Linked DNA regions of Lonchura striata. The protein of the gene in region 2 interacts with the protein of the main gene of each other region in a pairwise test. Links are inferred from orthologs where the notes say so. Each region holds a gene or a part of one and is shown on either strand. Other genes may lie near its edges.

Region 1 (8,016 bases), on a different chromosome or scaffold from region 2:
GTGCAGGAAGACGAGGCAGAGGGTGGAGGGGGCCCAGCATCACCAGTTCTTGCTGGCAGCCAAGCAATACTCAGCCCTGGACAAGCCTCCCTCCTGGGTGTCACTTCTTCCCCAAGTCCCTGCTTGGGATAAAGCACAGGGACAAGGCCTTTCAGCCCCAGTCTCCAACGAGAGGAAGAGAAGGGAGGGCTGGAACAGCACTAGGAGAGGTGCACATCACCCTGGGCCACTTTGCCATTTTTGCATAATAAATAAAACCTCAAATTTACATCTGCCATGAAAGCCACCAGGACATGCACAGCAAAGAAAGGTGCCCTGAGCCCCACCGAGCAAGAGCCCAGCGCTGCCATGTGTGCATCCCAAAGGATGCCTGCCAAGACAGAGGGGGACAGGCAAAGTTTTTCTTCCTCATAGCCTACCACAGACATTTGCCCTTGAAGGGGATCTGGGGGGACAGTGCCTGCCAGGGACAGGACGCTGTTGCAGGGCAGACCAGCAGGCATAGGAAGGTCAGAAATTTGGCTGAGGTACAGGCTGCTTGTTCCAAGAGTTGGAGAAACACAGGCCTTCTCCAAGCACACACCCGCCCGGGGGATTTGCCCTTGAGGCACTGACCTGGTTCTCCTGTCCCAGGAGAACCAGGTCAGTGGTTCTTATCACTTTATACAGACCATGTCTGTTGCCTGCCCATGCCTGGCAGTGGGGGCTGGCTGCAAACTACAGCCCATGGGTTTCAGCTCAGCCCCTGGGACCCCACAACAGCACAAGAGAATGGCATGAGCACCCCAGAGTCATGTCAAGCACCTGAGTGATGGAAGAATCCCCTCCCTGTCTGCAAGAGATGAATTAAGGTACCGTGGTTTGAACACCACATCTCATTCTCTGCTGCATAAATGAGCCTACAAGGCACATGGCATCCCCTGGGTCCCCATGGCGCAGAGCTGCACACAGCAGGCAGGGGCAGGTGTCACAGCTGCCACCAGTGCAGAGAGGAGGCAATTAGCAAGTAGTGAGAAAGCTCCTGCTCTCCCTGTTCAGCCCCATTGTGCTAATCCCACCCCAATTAAAGCCCCCTTTTCACTTTCAGATATTGTTATGAAAGATTAATCCACCCTAAAACAAGGTATTTCCAGCAGGTCAACAAGACAAAGCCAACTCTCAGTTTGCAAAAGGCTCTGGCACCTGCCTGGGAGCATTTAATTACCCTGACAATGGCATAAAGAGAAGAAGGGCCATGAGACCCCTTCAATCACAAATCCACAGAGGAGGCATCACTTTGCCTGCTGCTCCCACATGCCTGGGGCCAGCACCTGCAGGCTGCAGCCTCTCCCCAAGAGCAGAACCATCATCCAGCCCTCTTAGGGACACCTTTTCTCCCTCAGAGCCTGCAATGCTGCACACGGTACTGGCTTTTTTATGCCGTGCTTTCCCTTTGTCCTTTGCACAGCTCTTACACCAATAAATGCGCATTATAAAAAAACAAAGCAGTGGACAGTTCTAATCTCTAAGTCAACATGTGCCCTTATCACAGAGGGTGGTTCCCACTCAGCAGGCTCAGGCTGTCTTTTATCCAAAAGCAGCAACGTGTGCACACACTGCAGAGCAAATCAGAGGCAAAACTTTCCTGGGCTTTTTGGGAGCAGAGGAGTGAGCAGCCAGGGACTCTTGCAGGACCAGATCCTGCTAGAGAGGTACAGCAGGTACTGCAGGACTCTGCTGGGCAGGCACAAGTCCACTATACCAAGCAGATCACTCCAACCACATCTTCACATCCTTTCACAGCTCTGTCCAAGGCATTGCACAGAGTTGTTTCCAAGCCTGTTAAGTAACAGTACATTTTCTGCTGGCCTTCTTGAGCAAAACTCCAAATTGTGGATGTACATCTGGTTTTCTAGGATTCTAACACAAAGTCTGGAAGGGAAAAAACCTCCATCAGCCAGCCCTCAGCTGTGACAAATGTTGATTTAAGAGAAGTGCTTACAAAATTGCACATGAAGCACTTTGCAAAAGTGACCTGCCTGTAGGCGCACTGAAAAAGCAGAAAGAGGAGCTGTGCCCTACGCTCCAGATACAGATCAGCAAGAGCCAGAACAAAGCAGAGCAAGGGAACTCATGACAGGCCCATGTTTTCAAGGAAGAGATTCACATGACTGTGAATCCCAGCTCCTGTGTTCTCTCCCTGCTGATTTCTTTTCCCTTTCCACTTCCCCTCACTCAAACCCTGCCGGGGCCAGTCCATGGGTAGCCATCGAAGGCACGGCAGTGCAGAGTGACCCGGACCTTTGATGCGCCCCAGGGCGGCCACGCTGAGTCCCCCTGCTTTTCAAAGGCCGGTCCTTGGCTATTGTGTTCACATCCTGAGCTTGTTTGTACACTTGCTGGAGGGCCCGATCCCCGCAGCCCCCCTGCCACGGCCCAGCCGCCCTGACCCAGATAAAAGCGGGGCAGGGCTGCTATCGGGGCACGGACACGCGGCACGGGCCGAGCTGCAGCCGCCGCGATAGCGGGGCTGGGCCGGGCCCGCAGGGACGAGCTGCGGGTCAGCGGCGGCCCCGCAGAGCTGCGCCGGGCCTGGCTGCGGCCGGGCTGCTGCCAGCGGCGCTATCAGCGCCCTGCACGCCGAGGGGGGCCCTGGCACCGCTGCCCTCCCGCTCTGCTGCCCCTGCGGAGGGCCAGCAGCTTGCCAACAGAGCTAACTGCCAGGCGGCAAGCAACACCCAAGCTGCTAAAGCTCTTGGATCATCGCCTCAGCCCTCCTGCCCTCTGGGCAGGCACGGAGCTGGAGAACAGTCCACCCTCCTTCCTATAAGTAAGGTAGGGTTTCCCATGCCTTGGTGGTTAAAATCCCAGTGAAACCCATCTTTGTAAGCAAGGAAGCCCAATTAAAAGAGCCAGTCTGTTTTAGTCCCACTGGGGCAGTGTCCAAGCACGAGCCTCTCAGCTGGGCCTCCATGCCAGCCCCTGGCAAGAAGAGCAGCAGTAAGGAGCGTCACTGCATCCACATCCCTCCTTGTGTGATAGGAGAGATGGGGAGATGAGCCTCCACATTGCAGGAAGGCAAAAAAAAACAAAATCCCAGAGGATTTTGAGGGCATGTTCCATGGGATACCGGAAGAGCACATCTTTATAGGAGCAAGAGCCCACAGTGTCCTCAGCCCCACACCTCTCCTCCAGGTGCTTGGTGCTCTTGTCTCCTCTCAGCTAGCTGGTGGGAGCACCAAACCAGCTCCAGGTGCTTCCCCAGAAAGGATGCAAAGACAAGTGTTCTTTTGAAGGGACAACAATGCAGTGGCCAGTTGTCAGCTCTATCCACGACGTTTTCATTCACCTCCTCCACAGCCTCTTTGCTACAGGACAAGAAGAGGCAGCAGCTCCTCTCCAAGATGCCAACGCCTGTCACAATCCCTCCCCCTCCTCAGCCTGCATGGCAGCACATGTCAGGGTAGTGGCCAAGGAACAACAGCTCCCAAGCATGGCTGTGGGTGCCTGAATTGCTGGGAGAGCAGGATGGAATTACATTCTCCAAGGCAGTATGATGGCTTTCCCTGAGAGGATCATACCCAACTACTTAACCCACTTTTTGCCAGCGCAATTGAGAAATGCCGCAGCAAAAGCCAAAACACGTGGTACTCTGGAGGATGGGAATACTCATGGTGTTGTGAAATTCTTGGCTATTGCACTCTTGGCTTGGTGGGACAGGAGGAGAGAGGACAGGCTCTCCTGGGAGCCCTGCCTGATAGACCTGACCTGGAAGGTTAGGGTACTAGAGGGGTCGCAGTATGATTCTGACATTGAAAAAAAACTAGATTTCTCAGCTTCCTGGGACCTATAATAGCTGACTGCACCCATGAGGTGCAGCCCATGAGGTGACATGAGAGCACAGACAGCGTATCCCTCAAACCCAGGAAGGCTGGAGCTGGCACTGCCACTGTAAATGGCTGGGATCTAGAGGAAGCAGTTGCCATTCAGGAAGATCAAAATCTTTGTTTTGTCCCCAGATGCCTGTTGCCTCTCTGGCCCTGCACCCTGGGGTGCCTGGAGTGACATATAACCCCTGTTCCATGGAGTGCAAAGCCAATGGGAGTCCTATAACCACCTGCCACCCCACAGACCACTGCATGTCCCACAACCCTTGACCTCAGCCCAACAGCAGATCCAATCTAGCACCACACTCCAGCACTAGGTTCTCAGCTTTTCCATCCTTTCCAGACTGAAGAGCCATGTTATTCGCAGTATTTCTTGCCATAGAACTGTTCAAGTCACCTCACAAGATAAGTTGCTGGAAAACCATCTTTTCACAGAATATTCTGAATTGGAAGGGACCAACAAGGATCACCAAATCCTGCTGCAAAACTGAAGTGAAACCATGTTTTGATCTCATGTTCTCAGCATCCCAGTGGAAGGACACTGGCACATCATGAGATATTGTACAAAAGCATGTGGAGTCATTTGAGTCAAGTCAGAGGACACACGGACACCTCCTGAAAATAGCCAAATAGTTTGGCTTGCCAAACCACAATGATGAGGAACACCCTGATGCTGGGAAGACACATCAGAAAGTCAGCAGTAACCAATCCTACATCCTCTTTCCTCTTCATCTATTTCCCAGTTTTTGCTCTCTGTTCCTCGCAAAGATTTTTGGTTGTGCTGGGCAGCCTGAGCATCTGGGCTTGGCACTGCCAGCAGTACAGGCACCGCTGTGTGAACTGCAGCTGTCCCTGAGACAGGTCACCAAGCACCAGAGCCAGCCAAATCCCAGTCACTTCAAGGTGAAGGGTGCTCCACTGCTCACGGGTACACAACACTGCCTTTGAAGAACCCTCATTTTCAGGTATTCTACCGCCAAAACCAGCTGAGGTGCAAAAACCTCTGAGTTTCTAGAATATCAGCTTTCTTCTCTTTTTCCAGGCACGTGTAGAAACGGGAACTGAGTGCCGAGCACGGCGTGCAGCGATTGAGAGCGGAAAACACCTGCAGCGAGTCCCTGCCAGGGCGGGCCGGGGCTGGCACCTCCCCTGCCATAGCCGGAAGGGAGGCACAGCCAGCCGAGGCCACGGGGAGGGATAAATCCGATTGCCGCCTCCCTTGCCTTGCGACATCGCTCCCGGGAACGTCCAGAGCCCGAGCTCTCCTGCAGGTGTCCCTCCTTTGGCGGCACCTCGGTGTGGAAGCGCTGCCGCGCCTGGCACGCTGTGCACAGGTAAAGGAAGCTGAGGGCTTGGTGGGGGGAGCCCAGGAGGAACATAAAAACAGGGCAGAGCTGTGACTGCTTTCCCCGGGTTGTACTTTCCTGAGCAGCAGGCTGCGTCCAGGCTGTTGTGGTGAGAAACGATCAGAGCGTCCAGCCTGCAGGACTGAGCTAAACTCTTTCTGAACCCTCTTACACCTTGGGCTTCCACCAAGGCACCGGCCAGCACCACGTCCCACGGGTCAGTCACATGCCAAATAACAATAGTTTTCCCTCCCATGACTGGCATCACGACAACTGGTGAGGGATGAATCTAGAGAAGAGAGAGCCTGGCTCAGACCTCCTCTGGCAAACAGAGCTGGCAGCACGTCTTGCCTGAGAGACACTTTACAGACTTGTCTCCAGACATCCGCGCCGAATTTCAGGTCTACTTAATCCCCCTTTTATCAGCGCAGGAATGTATTGCTTTTTACCAAACGTAATCCTCTTTGCAATCATGTGTTCTGCCAAACTACACTTTCTGCTCCCATCCTTCTTTCCTGGGAGAGGATTTGAGGCAATAATCCCGGCCTACTGATTTCTTTTTCTAATGAGCAAGGGACAAATGAACACAGTAGTGCAGAACATGCACACACACGAACCTTGAAGCGTTCTGTAGCTGTGATATGTTTTTGAGGGATGCCCTGAGCTAAAGAATGAGGCTGGAAGCAGTGACTTTCTCTCACAGTGGGCCACAGAGAGCCTGTGTCCTGATGTGGGCTGTCCACACTTCTTGTGTTTAGGGGCTGGAAGACATAATACCTGCCACGCTTCCTGTTCTACAAATAAAATAACAATCTGTGCAGCCCAACACAAAGGAAAGGCACCTCGCGTGTCTCTGCTCATTCAGCTCTAAAAAGGCAGCCCTGAGCATGTGAGACTTGCTGGGACCTGAGGATGCTGAGAGCTTCCCAAGCCAGAGTCTTGTTTGCATCACCCAGGAAGGAAAATATTTTTCCTGTCCTCATCCCTCAAAATGCTGAGAGGACGGGAATGCTGAAGCTGTGACCCGCTCTTTCTTCTGCTGTGGTACAAGCATGCCTTCCCACAAAGATTTGTTAACTTCATCTCCCTGCCCCACTTCCAGCCCTCCCTGTGGGGAAGCTGGGATTTGGTATGCAGCCAGTGAAATACATGCCACTTGGAAGTGGCTCTTTCACCAGACCAAGGGCACCTAAAGGCAATTTAAGCAAGTAGCTTCATTCTTTATAAAAGAAGTAGGTCGTAGTGAGGAGGGGACCTGTAGTGGGAGGTGACTAGTCTCTTCTACCATGCCTGTAGTGAGAGGATTAGAGGAAATGGCCTTTAGCTGAGAGATTCAGATTAGGAATTACAAAATTGTTTCTCACTGTTTCAGGCACTGGAATAGGTTTCTAGAGAGGTGATGGAGTTGTGGCCCCTGGAGTGAGTGCTTATTGTTTTTCACAATTACAGGTACTGGGAATAGGTTTTTAGAGAGGTGATGGAGTCGTGACCCCTGGAGTGCTCAAAAGGTGCTGGGTCACGCGGTTTAGTGGTTGCAGAGGTGATGCTGGGTTGATGGTTGGATTGGATGATCTTGGATTCTGTGCTCCCGTGCATTCCCTGTGCGCAGCGAGGCCGCGTGGGGCACGGAGCAGGCACACGCCCGCTGCTTTGGGCGGGCCGTGCGGGACACGCACCGCAGCGGGAGCGGCCGCAGGGGCAGGAGGCGGAGCTCCGCCCGCTGCCGATAGGCGCTCGGAGCGGCGGGGCGGGCCCGGGCGGCTCCGAGCGGCACTAACGCTACGGGCGCCGCAGCGGAGCCCGGCGCGGCGGTGGAGCTGCTGCTGGTGAGCGGGCGCGGGGCCGCGCAGGCCGGGGAGCGGGAGGGAGGCGCGGGCAGCAGCGGGCGCGGGCGGAGGGAGGCGGCGGAGGGCGGGGAGCGGGAGCGGCGGCGCTGGGCCCTGGCGGCGCTGGGCCCTGGCCCGCATGCGGCGGTGCCCGCGACCTTGGTGGGCTCGGCAGGGCGGCTCGGGCGGACGTGCCCGCGGCCCGCCGCCTATCGCCCACCGCTTATCTGCGTCCGCAGCCGGGCCCTGCTGGCGATACCGGAGCCACCCAGCCCCGCGGCGCGGCTGCTGAAGCGGGCTCGCTTTTCTCTCTCTTTTGCTTCTCTTTCTGAAAGATCGCGGCCTGGCGGGAGGGGCGCGGGGAGGCATGGCGCGGCCGGCCAGCATCCCTGCCAGGTGCGATGCCCGCAGGCCCTTTGTGCCTCCCCGCGGTTTCCCGGGTGTCCTTGCAGCAGCCGCCACATGCTCGGTCCGCCCGTGCCCTGGCGGGAGCCTGCGGCCTCAGGAAAGGCTTCTCAGCTCGGGAAAGGCTTCTCAAATCTGTCGTGGTTTCACCTCCATGTGTTCTTGCCCTGAATAAAAGGTGAAATAAACAATGGCCACTGCTAACCTTTGATCTCCAAATAAAACCTCGCAGAGCTCCCCGGTGTAGAGCTAATCCACGTGCACCTGAAGACCAGAGCCATCTATTAGCAGCAGTGCCTGAGGGCATACTCAGGTTGCTTGCTCCCAACCTCAGCACCTGCCTGGTGCTGTGGCGAGTGATCATTGGTCGCTCACTGAATTGCAAATCTTTTTCAGGAAGAAATGGAGAAGCAAATCAGTTTCAATATACCTTTCAGACATGTTTGCTGCTTACAGAGAACTTACACTTTTAAAAGTTGCTGAAATAATTTTGGAAAGATACTTTTAGTGATTTTCAGAGATTTTTCAAGATATTGCCTTCACAAAGTTGCAGAGAACATAGCTCTGTAGGAA
Region 2 (7,274 bases):
CAGATTCCGACACCAGGCTGCTTTAAACACGTCACCTTTGTGCCCCATCAGCATTTTGGAGGGGGATCACCACTGAGATGGGTTGGATTTCCCAAAAGCCCCTCAGCAAAGAGGGGATCAAGGCTCTGAGTGGAGGCAGAGCCCTCAATCCCAAATTTCCCACCCCTCCCTCTGCCGTGCCCACACCCCACTCCTGCATCGTTCCCTTCTCAGCTCTGGGATGAGGCAGAAGGATCTGCTGGAATTCCAGGGGGTTGCAGGTGGCAGAGGACGTACCTGGAGCCACACAATCCTCTGGTACACGTCCTGCCTCATGCTCATCTCCACGTCGAACTCCGAGAGCTTCTTGTCGGCCTCGGTGCTGGCGGCGCGGGTGGCCTTGCAGGGGGACACGTGCTGGGGGAAATCCAGCATGTTCCTACGGACTGGCAGGAGAAAAGGGGACAGGGATGGTGGCTCCACGTCCCAGCACACGCCCGGAGCCAGGCTGGCAGCCCCAGAGCCTTTTCCACCACGCTGCAGGGGAGGGAGGTGGGATGTGGCTCCTGCTCCCTTTGGTGCCTTCCCTGCTGCCCAGCACATCCACCCTGCTGGATTCCCGCCACAATCCTCCCAAAATCCACGGGAATTCTGTGCCTGTGAGCCCCCAACAGCTCTGCCCCAGCTGTGGCAGCACGGGAGGTTTGGGGAGGCCTGTGCAGGGCCAGGAGTTGGACTCGATGCTCCTTTGCAGCTGGAGGAATTCCACGATTCCTGATGGCAGCAGCATTCCCTGCCTCCTTTAAAGCTCAAAGTGGGACAATCCCTTCCCGCAGACACTTCCCAAAAAAGCCACCATGCCCCAGGTGCGCCCTGTCCTGACGCAATTCCACGTGGGAAGGCAAGGAGAACATTCCCTGCTGTTATCCCTGCAAAAAGCTCCAAGAGCAGCACTCCAGGTGCTCTCCAGGCACCTGGATTCTGCCCCCAGCAGAAGCTGAACAGGCAGCTCAGGCAGGGAAGTGCTGACAGCCGTGCTGAGGTGCACATTCCTCCTGCTGAGCAAAAGGAATTATGCTTTTTCCCCAATTATTTTAGGGAAAAAAGAACTGGGAGAGGAGGAGGACGAGGCTGCTCCCGGCCCCAGACAGGTGGGGCAGCTCGAGCACAGGGAGCAGCCCAGGTGTCACGAGGAGGGGCCACAGAATTGTCACCCTGCTGCAAATAATCATCCAGAAAGCCACCAGAAGAGCACAGTTTTGGTGCCATCACGTCGTGGTACTCCCCACCCCTAAAAAAATGCCAGCGGGATTGATTCTCCCAAAAAAAATCACAGCAGGATTGAATCTCCCAAAAAATGCCAGCAGGATTATCCTCCCAAAAAAATGCCAGCAGGATTGATTTTCCAAAAAAAATCCCAGCAGGATTGATTCTCCCAAAAAAATCACAGCGGGATTGAATCTCCCAAAAAATCCTAGCAGGATTGATTTTCCCAAAAAGTCCCTGCAGGATTTATCCTCCCAAAAAATCCTAATGGGACTGATTCTCCCAAAATATCCCAGCAGGACTGAGTCTCCCAAAAAATCCCAGCAGGATTGACTCTCCCAAAAAATTCCAGCAGCAAACAAGGCACATGGAGAGACATTTGTCCACTGTCCCAGGGAAAATTGAGGAAGGAAGTGAGAGTTTTTGGGATCTTTTCTCTGCTCCCACTGGTGACACGGGAAAGCTGGGACAGCTTTGGGGACATGGCTGCTCCTGCTGGCCTTGGGTTAATTTGCTTTTCCAAATCTGCTCTTTGTGCTGGCTCCTGGTTGTGTAAACATTAACTGGGAATAAAACCAACATTCTGCTGGCAGCCACGGGGAGAGAAAAGCAGGTGACAGCACAGAGCTAAAAAAAAAAAATCCAAAAATCCTAATAATCGTAGAATGGGTTGGAAAGTCTCTCAAAGCTCAGCCCTGCTATGGGCAGGGACATCTCCCACTATCCCAAGCTGGCCTTGGACCTTCCCAGGGATGGGGCAGGCACAGCCGCTCTGGGCAAGCCGAGAACCTCCCGCCTTCCCGGGAAGAGGAAGGTGTATCCCACCTGTGCATCCCATCCTGTGCCAGCAGGAACAGCTCCTTCCAGCCCAATCCCACAGATCTCACCTTTGTACCCCACCCTCTTCCAGCAGGAACAGCTCCCCCAGCCCAATCCCACTAATCCCACAGATCCCACCTGTGCATCCCACCCTGTGCCAGCAGGAACAGCTCCCTCAACCCAATCCCACCAATCCCACAGATCCTACCTGTGCATCCCATCCTGTGCCAGCAGAAACAGCTCCTTCCAGCCCAATCCCACAGATCCCACCTTTGTACCCCACCCTCTTCCAGCAGGAACAGCTCCCTCAACCCAATCCCACCAATGCCACCTGTGTATCCCACCTTCTGCCAGCAGGAACAGCTATCCCAGCCCCAATCCCACCCTTTGCCAGCAGGAACAGCCCCCTCCAGTCTGATCCCACTGATCCCACCTGTGTATCCCACCCTCTTCCAGCAGGAACAGCTCCCTCCAGCCCAATCCCACTAATCCCACAGATCCTACCTGTGTATCCCACCCTTTGCCAGCAGGAACAGCCCCCTCCAGCCTAATCCCACTGATCCCACCTGTGTATTCCACCTTTGTATCCCACCCTCTTCCAGCAGGGACAGCTCCTTCCAGCCTGATCCCACTAATCCCACTGATCCCACCCTCTACTGGCAGAAACAGATCCCCCAGCCCAATCCTACCAATCCCACCCTGTGCCAGCAGGAACAGCCCCCTCCAGCCTAATCCCATTGATCCTACTGTGTATCCCACCCTCTTCCAGTAGGAACAACTTCCTCCAGCCCAATCCCAGCAATCCCATCCTGTGCCAGCAGGAACAGCTCCCTCCAGCCTGATTCCACAGATCCCACCTGTGCATCCCACCCTCTTCCAGCAGGAACAGCTCCCCCAGCCCGATCCCACTAATCCCACAGATCCTACCTGTGCATCCCATCCTGTGCCAGCAGGAACAGCTCCCCCAGCCCGATCCCACCAATGCCACCTGTGTATCCCACCCTTTGCCGGCAGGAACAGCTCCCCCAGCCCAATCCCACAGATCCCACCTGTGTATCCCACCCTTTGCCGGCAGGAACAGCTCCCCCAGCCCAATCCCACCCTCCTCCAGCAGGAACAGCCCCCTCCAGCCTGATCCCACAGATCCCACCTGTGCATCCCACCCTCTTCCAGCAGGAACAGCTCCCCCAGCCCAATCCCACCCTCTTCCAGCAGGAACAGCTCCCCCAGCCCAATCCCACCCTCCTCCAGCAGGAACAGCTCCCCCAGCCCAATCCCACCCTGTTCCAGCAGGAGCAGTCCCCTCCAGCCTGATCCCACCTGTGTACTCCACCTCCACGTCCGCCAGAGCCTTCAGCGTGTTCTCGTAGGAGACCTCCCCGCGCTCCTGGGCTCCCACGCGGTCGTACACCAGCTTGGTGCTCTCGGTCAGCTCGGCGGCCATGGCCTCGATCTGCTCGGCCGTCAGGTCCCAGCGCAGCTGGCTGGCCACGGGCCGCGGGGCCTGGCCGTCCACGACATTCCCTGCGGGACAGCGGCGGCGACAGCTCGGGGGGAGCATTCCGGGCAGAGCCCGGCCGCCGGGAATCGGCGGCGGGATCGCCGAGCGGGCGCTCCTCGCCCCTCCCGGTCCCGAAACCCGACTCCGTGCCCCGCCGGCTGCTCGGGGACGGGGCCACAGAGGTGACCCGCGGGGAGAGGAGACCCCGGCCGGCCCGGGGGACCGGCCCCGGCCCGGTGCTGCCGCCCCATCCCTCTCCCCTCACCGCTCTCCCCGGTGCCCCCATCCCGCCGGTACCTGTCGGCGGGGCCATGTCGGGGGTGCCGGGGGTACCGGGAGGCCCCGCGCTGCTGACGAGGCCGGGAGGAAACCGGGCCGGCCCCACGCACCGAGCATGTGCCCCGACCGGAGAGGCGGGCGGGAGAGCGGGGCATGCTGGGAGCCTGGAGGACCGGGCCGCTCCCGCCGCGCCCGCGCCGCACCGGGGCCGGGCGGCGGGGGCGGCTCATCCCCGCCGCGACCCTCCGGGCCGGCCGGGAGCGGGCGCGGGGCGGGCGCGGAGCATCCCCGGGTCCCGCCCGCCCGTTCCCATGGCAACGCCCCCGCGCGTTGCCGTGGCAACGCCGGCATCTCTATGGTCCCGCTGGGGGCGGGGCTTCCGCGCCAGGCCACGCCCATTCCGGTGCACCGGGGAGGGCGGGGCGGCGGGCGCGGCGCATGCGCAGTGCGGGAGCGCGCCCGGCCCAGGCGAGTGTCCGGTGAGCGCGGGGGAACCGGGACCGGCACCGGGACCGGGGCTGAGCTCCCGCCGGGACCCTCCGGTGCCGGGCCGTGCTGTGCTGCCCGCCGCAGCCGCCGTCCTGCTCCGCCTGCGGGCAGCGGCACCGGAGGGCACCGGGACTGGGATGGGGAACCGGGGCACCGGGGGCACCGGGGCTGGGCCCCCGCCGGGACCCTCCGGTGCTGGGCCGTGCTGTCGGGGAACGGGAGCTCCCGGGTCGGGGAACGGGATCCCAGCCGGGCCCGGGGCTGCTCCCGGGTCGGGGAACGGGAGATCCCGGGTCGGGGAACGGGAGATCCCGGGTCGGGGAACGGGATCCCAGCCGGGGAACGGGAGATCCCGGGTCGGGGAACGGGAACCCAACCGGGCCCGGGGCTGCTCCCGGGGCTTCTGGTTCCGCTCGGGTCCGTGGGACTCCGGTGAAACGGAGCTCGTTCCTCGCTTAAACGATCCTGGCTGTGCTACAAACCCACTTAAGGTCCGGGGCTCGCTTTCGCTGCCCCGGGATCACTGGAATTCCCAGCCTCGGGAATTTTTGGGCTCTCTGTGCTTTGGGATTTTGGGATTTCTTTCCCTTTTCCCCGCCAGGACAGCCCTGGCTACCAGGGGCTACCAAATCCCTCCCGCTCTTGGCTCTGCTTTCAGGAGCAAGAAAATTGGGAATTTTTCCTGGTGAGCTCCTCAGTGCTCCCAGGGTTTCAACCCTCTGGGTTGAATCCAGGCCAGGAGAATTCCTAAGGAATATCAGGAAAGTTCTGGAGTTCTTCCCTGACCGAGAGGACAGGGCAGCTCCCTCATCCCCCCAAATCCATCCTGGCCTCCTCCGAGGCACAGCAGCAGCAAACCCCTGTTTGCCTTTCCCCGCTCCAGCCCAGCCTTGGAGCCTCTGCAGGAATTTTTTGGGACACCAGGAGGAGGAGGAGGAGGAGGAGCCCGGCCCCTCGCAGCCCTTCTCTCCCAGCATGGCAGACCAGAAGCGTCTGGCCTTCTCCATCATCCAGTTCCTGCACACCCAGCTCCAGAACGGGAGCATGTCTCCAGACGCTCAGGAGAGTTTGGAAGGTGGGTGCATCTCCCAAAATTTGGGAGAATTTTCGCCGTTGTCTCCCTGTTTTCTACCCTTGGCTGGGCTGCTGCCGGTGCTGAACCTCGCTGGGATTTCGGAGTTGATTTTTCCTTTTTTGGGGATTTATCCAGGGGTGCTGGTGGTTCATGTGGCTTCTGATCTCTTCCAAGAGCAGCTTAGCTGGGGACAGAAGCCTCCCTGATCCCTGCTTGGAGACTCAGAGGGTTCATCCTAGATGCTGAGCATTCCGTGGGGTGGGAGGTGGGAATTCCCCAGCTCCAGGGAAGCTTTTTGTGCTCCTGGCCTTGTTTCTCCTCTTCTGCTCCCCAAAAATCCCTCAGGGTTTTTCCAGGCCCTTCCAAAGGACAGGGATCTTAAAAGGATCTCCCTAAGGAGCTTAAGGTTTAGTCCTTGGTTTGTGGGTTTGTCCTGGTGAAAGGAGCGTGGCTGTGGGGTGCTGGGAGCGGGATATTTTGGGATGTGGAATGTGGCAGGAGGCTCTCCTTTCCCTGGGAGCAGCTTCCCGAGCCTGAGGAGGGAGGAGGTGGCTCCCAGAGCCAGGGGAATGTCTGGGTCTCTCCCTGGAATTCTGGGCCATTCCCACATTCCCAGCAGTGGGAATGCTGCTGCAGCCCCAGCAGGAATCCCTCGGGATGGGAACTGGGGTTGGCTCCATCCAGGATATCCAGAGGGAAGCTTTGCCCAGCTCTGAGTTTTACCAAAATCTGAGGGTACAGCCCAAAAATCCCATCTGGCGTGGGGAAAGTGGTGGGGTTTTTCCTGGTTTTTTTGAGAGATGAGGGAGAGGGATGAATGTTTATTAATTAATGACCTGATTCTCCTTATCCAGTGGCCATCCAGTGCCTGGAAACAGCCTTTGGGGTCTCCATGGAAGACCAAAGCCTGGCTGTGTCCCAGACCCTCCCCGAAATATTTGAAGCTGTGGTAGGGAAGGTGAGTGAGTGCCCTGGAACGTTCCCTTTTCCTTAAGCTCTGCTGGATTTTCCTGGAGGCTGCTGCTCTCCTCAGGAGCTCCGTGTGGGAGGGGAACGTTTTGGGCTGGAAAAATGGGAATTGTGGGAATGCTCAGCTCAGCTTCTCCCTCTCTCCTTGGAAGGAGCCGGAACACTCCAGAACGAACTCGGAGCCCGTCACTCCCTCGGAAGATGATGTGGCTGAAGCTGAAAGACTCAAGACTGAAGGTACCAAGCCCTGGAGCTGCTGGATAACGAGGGTTTGGTGCTAATTGGGAGGGGATCTCAATTCCCTGGCACCTGAGGAATGCTTGGAATGGAGGGGAAAAACAAAATGTTTTCGATTTCTGCCTCTTGCTCCGTTTGGTTTGCAGAAGTGTGGGGAGATTTTGCTGCCAGGGATGTTGGAGCAGTGGGATTTTTATCCCAAAAACCCTGTGGGGTGTGGAGCAGAGCATCCATCCCTCCTGCTCTGTGCGTGGCTTTTTCCTGGGAAAAAGTGGGATGAGTGTGGATGCAGCACTTCCCCCCTGAGCCAGCAGCTGGGGTGATTTTTTTTGGGATGCAGCATCAGGAATGCTGGAATTTCCAGCACAGCCTCGCAGCTGGACCTGCCCCACGCTGACAAACCTCTCCCCTGTGCTATTTCCATGGATCCAGGCCTTTGCTTTGGTTTATCCCAGTTCTTTTCCATCCTTTCCCACCCTCCTTTCAGGAAACGACCAAATGAAGGCAGAAAACTTCGAGGCTGCCGTGTCTTTTTATGGAAAAGCCATCGAGTTAAACCCAGCCAACGCCGTTTATTTCTGCAACAGGTACTGAGCAGCTCCCCCAGCTGCTCCCTGCTGGGATCCCAGGCTCTGGAATGCCCCAAATTCCCATTTTTCT

What was found.
Region 1: the proteins of SGTA (region 2) and TFRC interact in binary tests that used the Homo sapiens proteins (3 or more experiments, as listed by UniProt). The two-hybrid records come from large-scale screens. The link is inferred for Lonchura striata from reciprocal best matches to the Homo sapiens genes SGTA and TFRC.

The regions. Positions count from the first base shown.
Region 1 is NC_134612.1:17,678,935-17,686,950, forward strand, and holds the start of TFRC (transferrin receptor protein 1), read left to right. Parts: upstream 1-4,999; 5' UTR 5,000-5,200; intron 5,201-6,933; exon of another isoform or gene 6,934-7,038; intron 7,039-8,016. UniProt on the Homo sapiens protein: Cellular uptake of iron occurs via receptor-mediated endocytosis of ligand-occupied transferrin receptor into specialized endosomes. Endosomal acidification leads to iron release.
Region 2 is NC_134630.1:6,150,537-6,157,810, reverse strand, and holds the start of SGTA (small glutamine-rich tetratricopeptide repeat-containing protein alpha), read left to right. Parts: upstream 1-4,257; 5' UTR 4,258-4,323; intron 4,324-5,216; 5' UTR 5,217-5,308; coding exon 5,309-5,408; intron 5,409-6,262; coding exon 6,263-6,366; intron 6,367-6,529; coding exon 6,530-6,614; intron 6,615-7,101; coding exon 7,102-7,201; intron 7,202-7,274. Other genes in the region: THOP1 (thimet oligopeptidase), read right to left, coding at 277-425, 3,385-3,625. UniProt on the Homo sapiens protein: Co-chaperone that binds misfolded and hydrophobic patches-containing client proteins in the cytosol. Mediates their targeting to the endoplasmic reticulum but also regulates their sorting to the proteasome when targeting fails.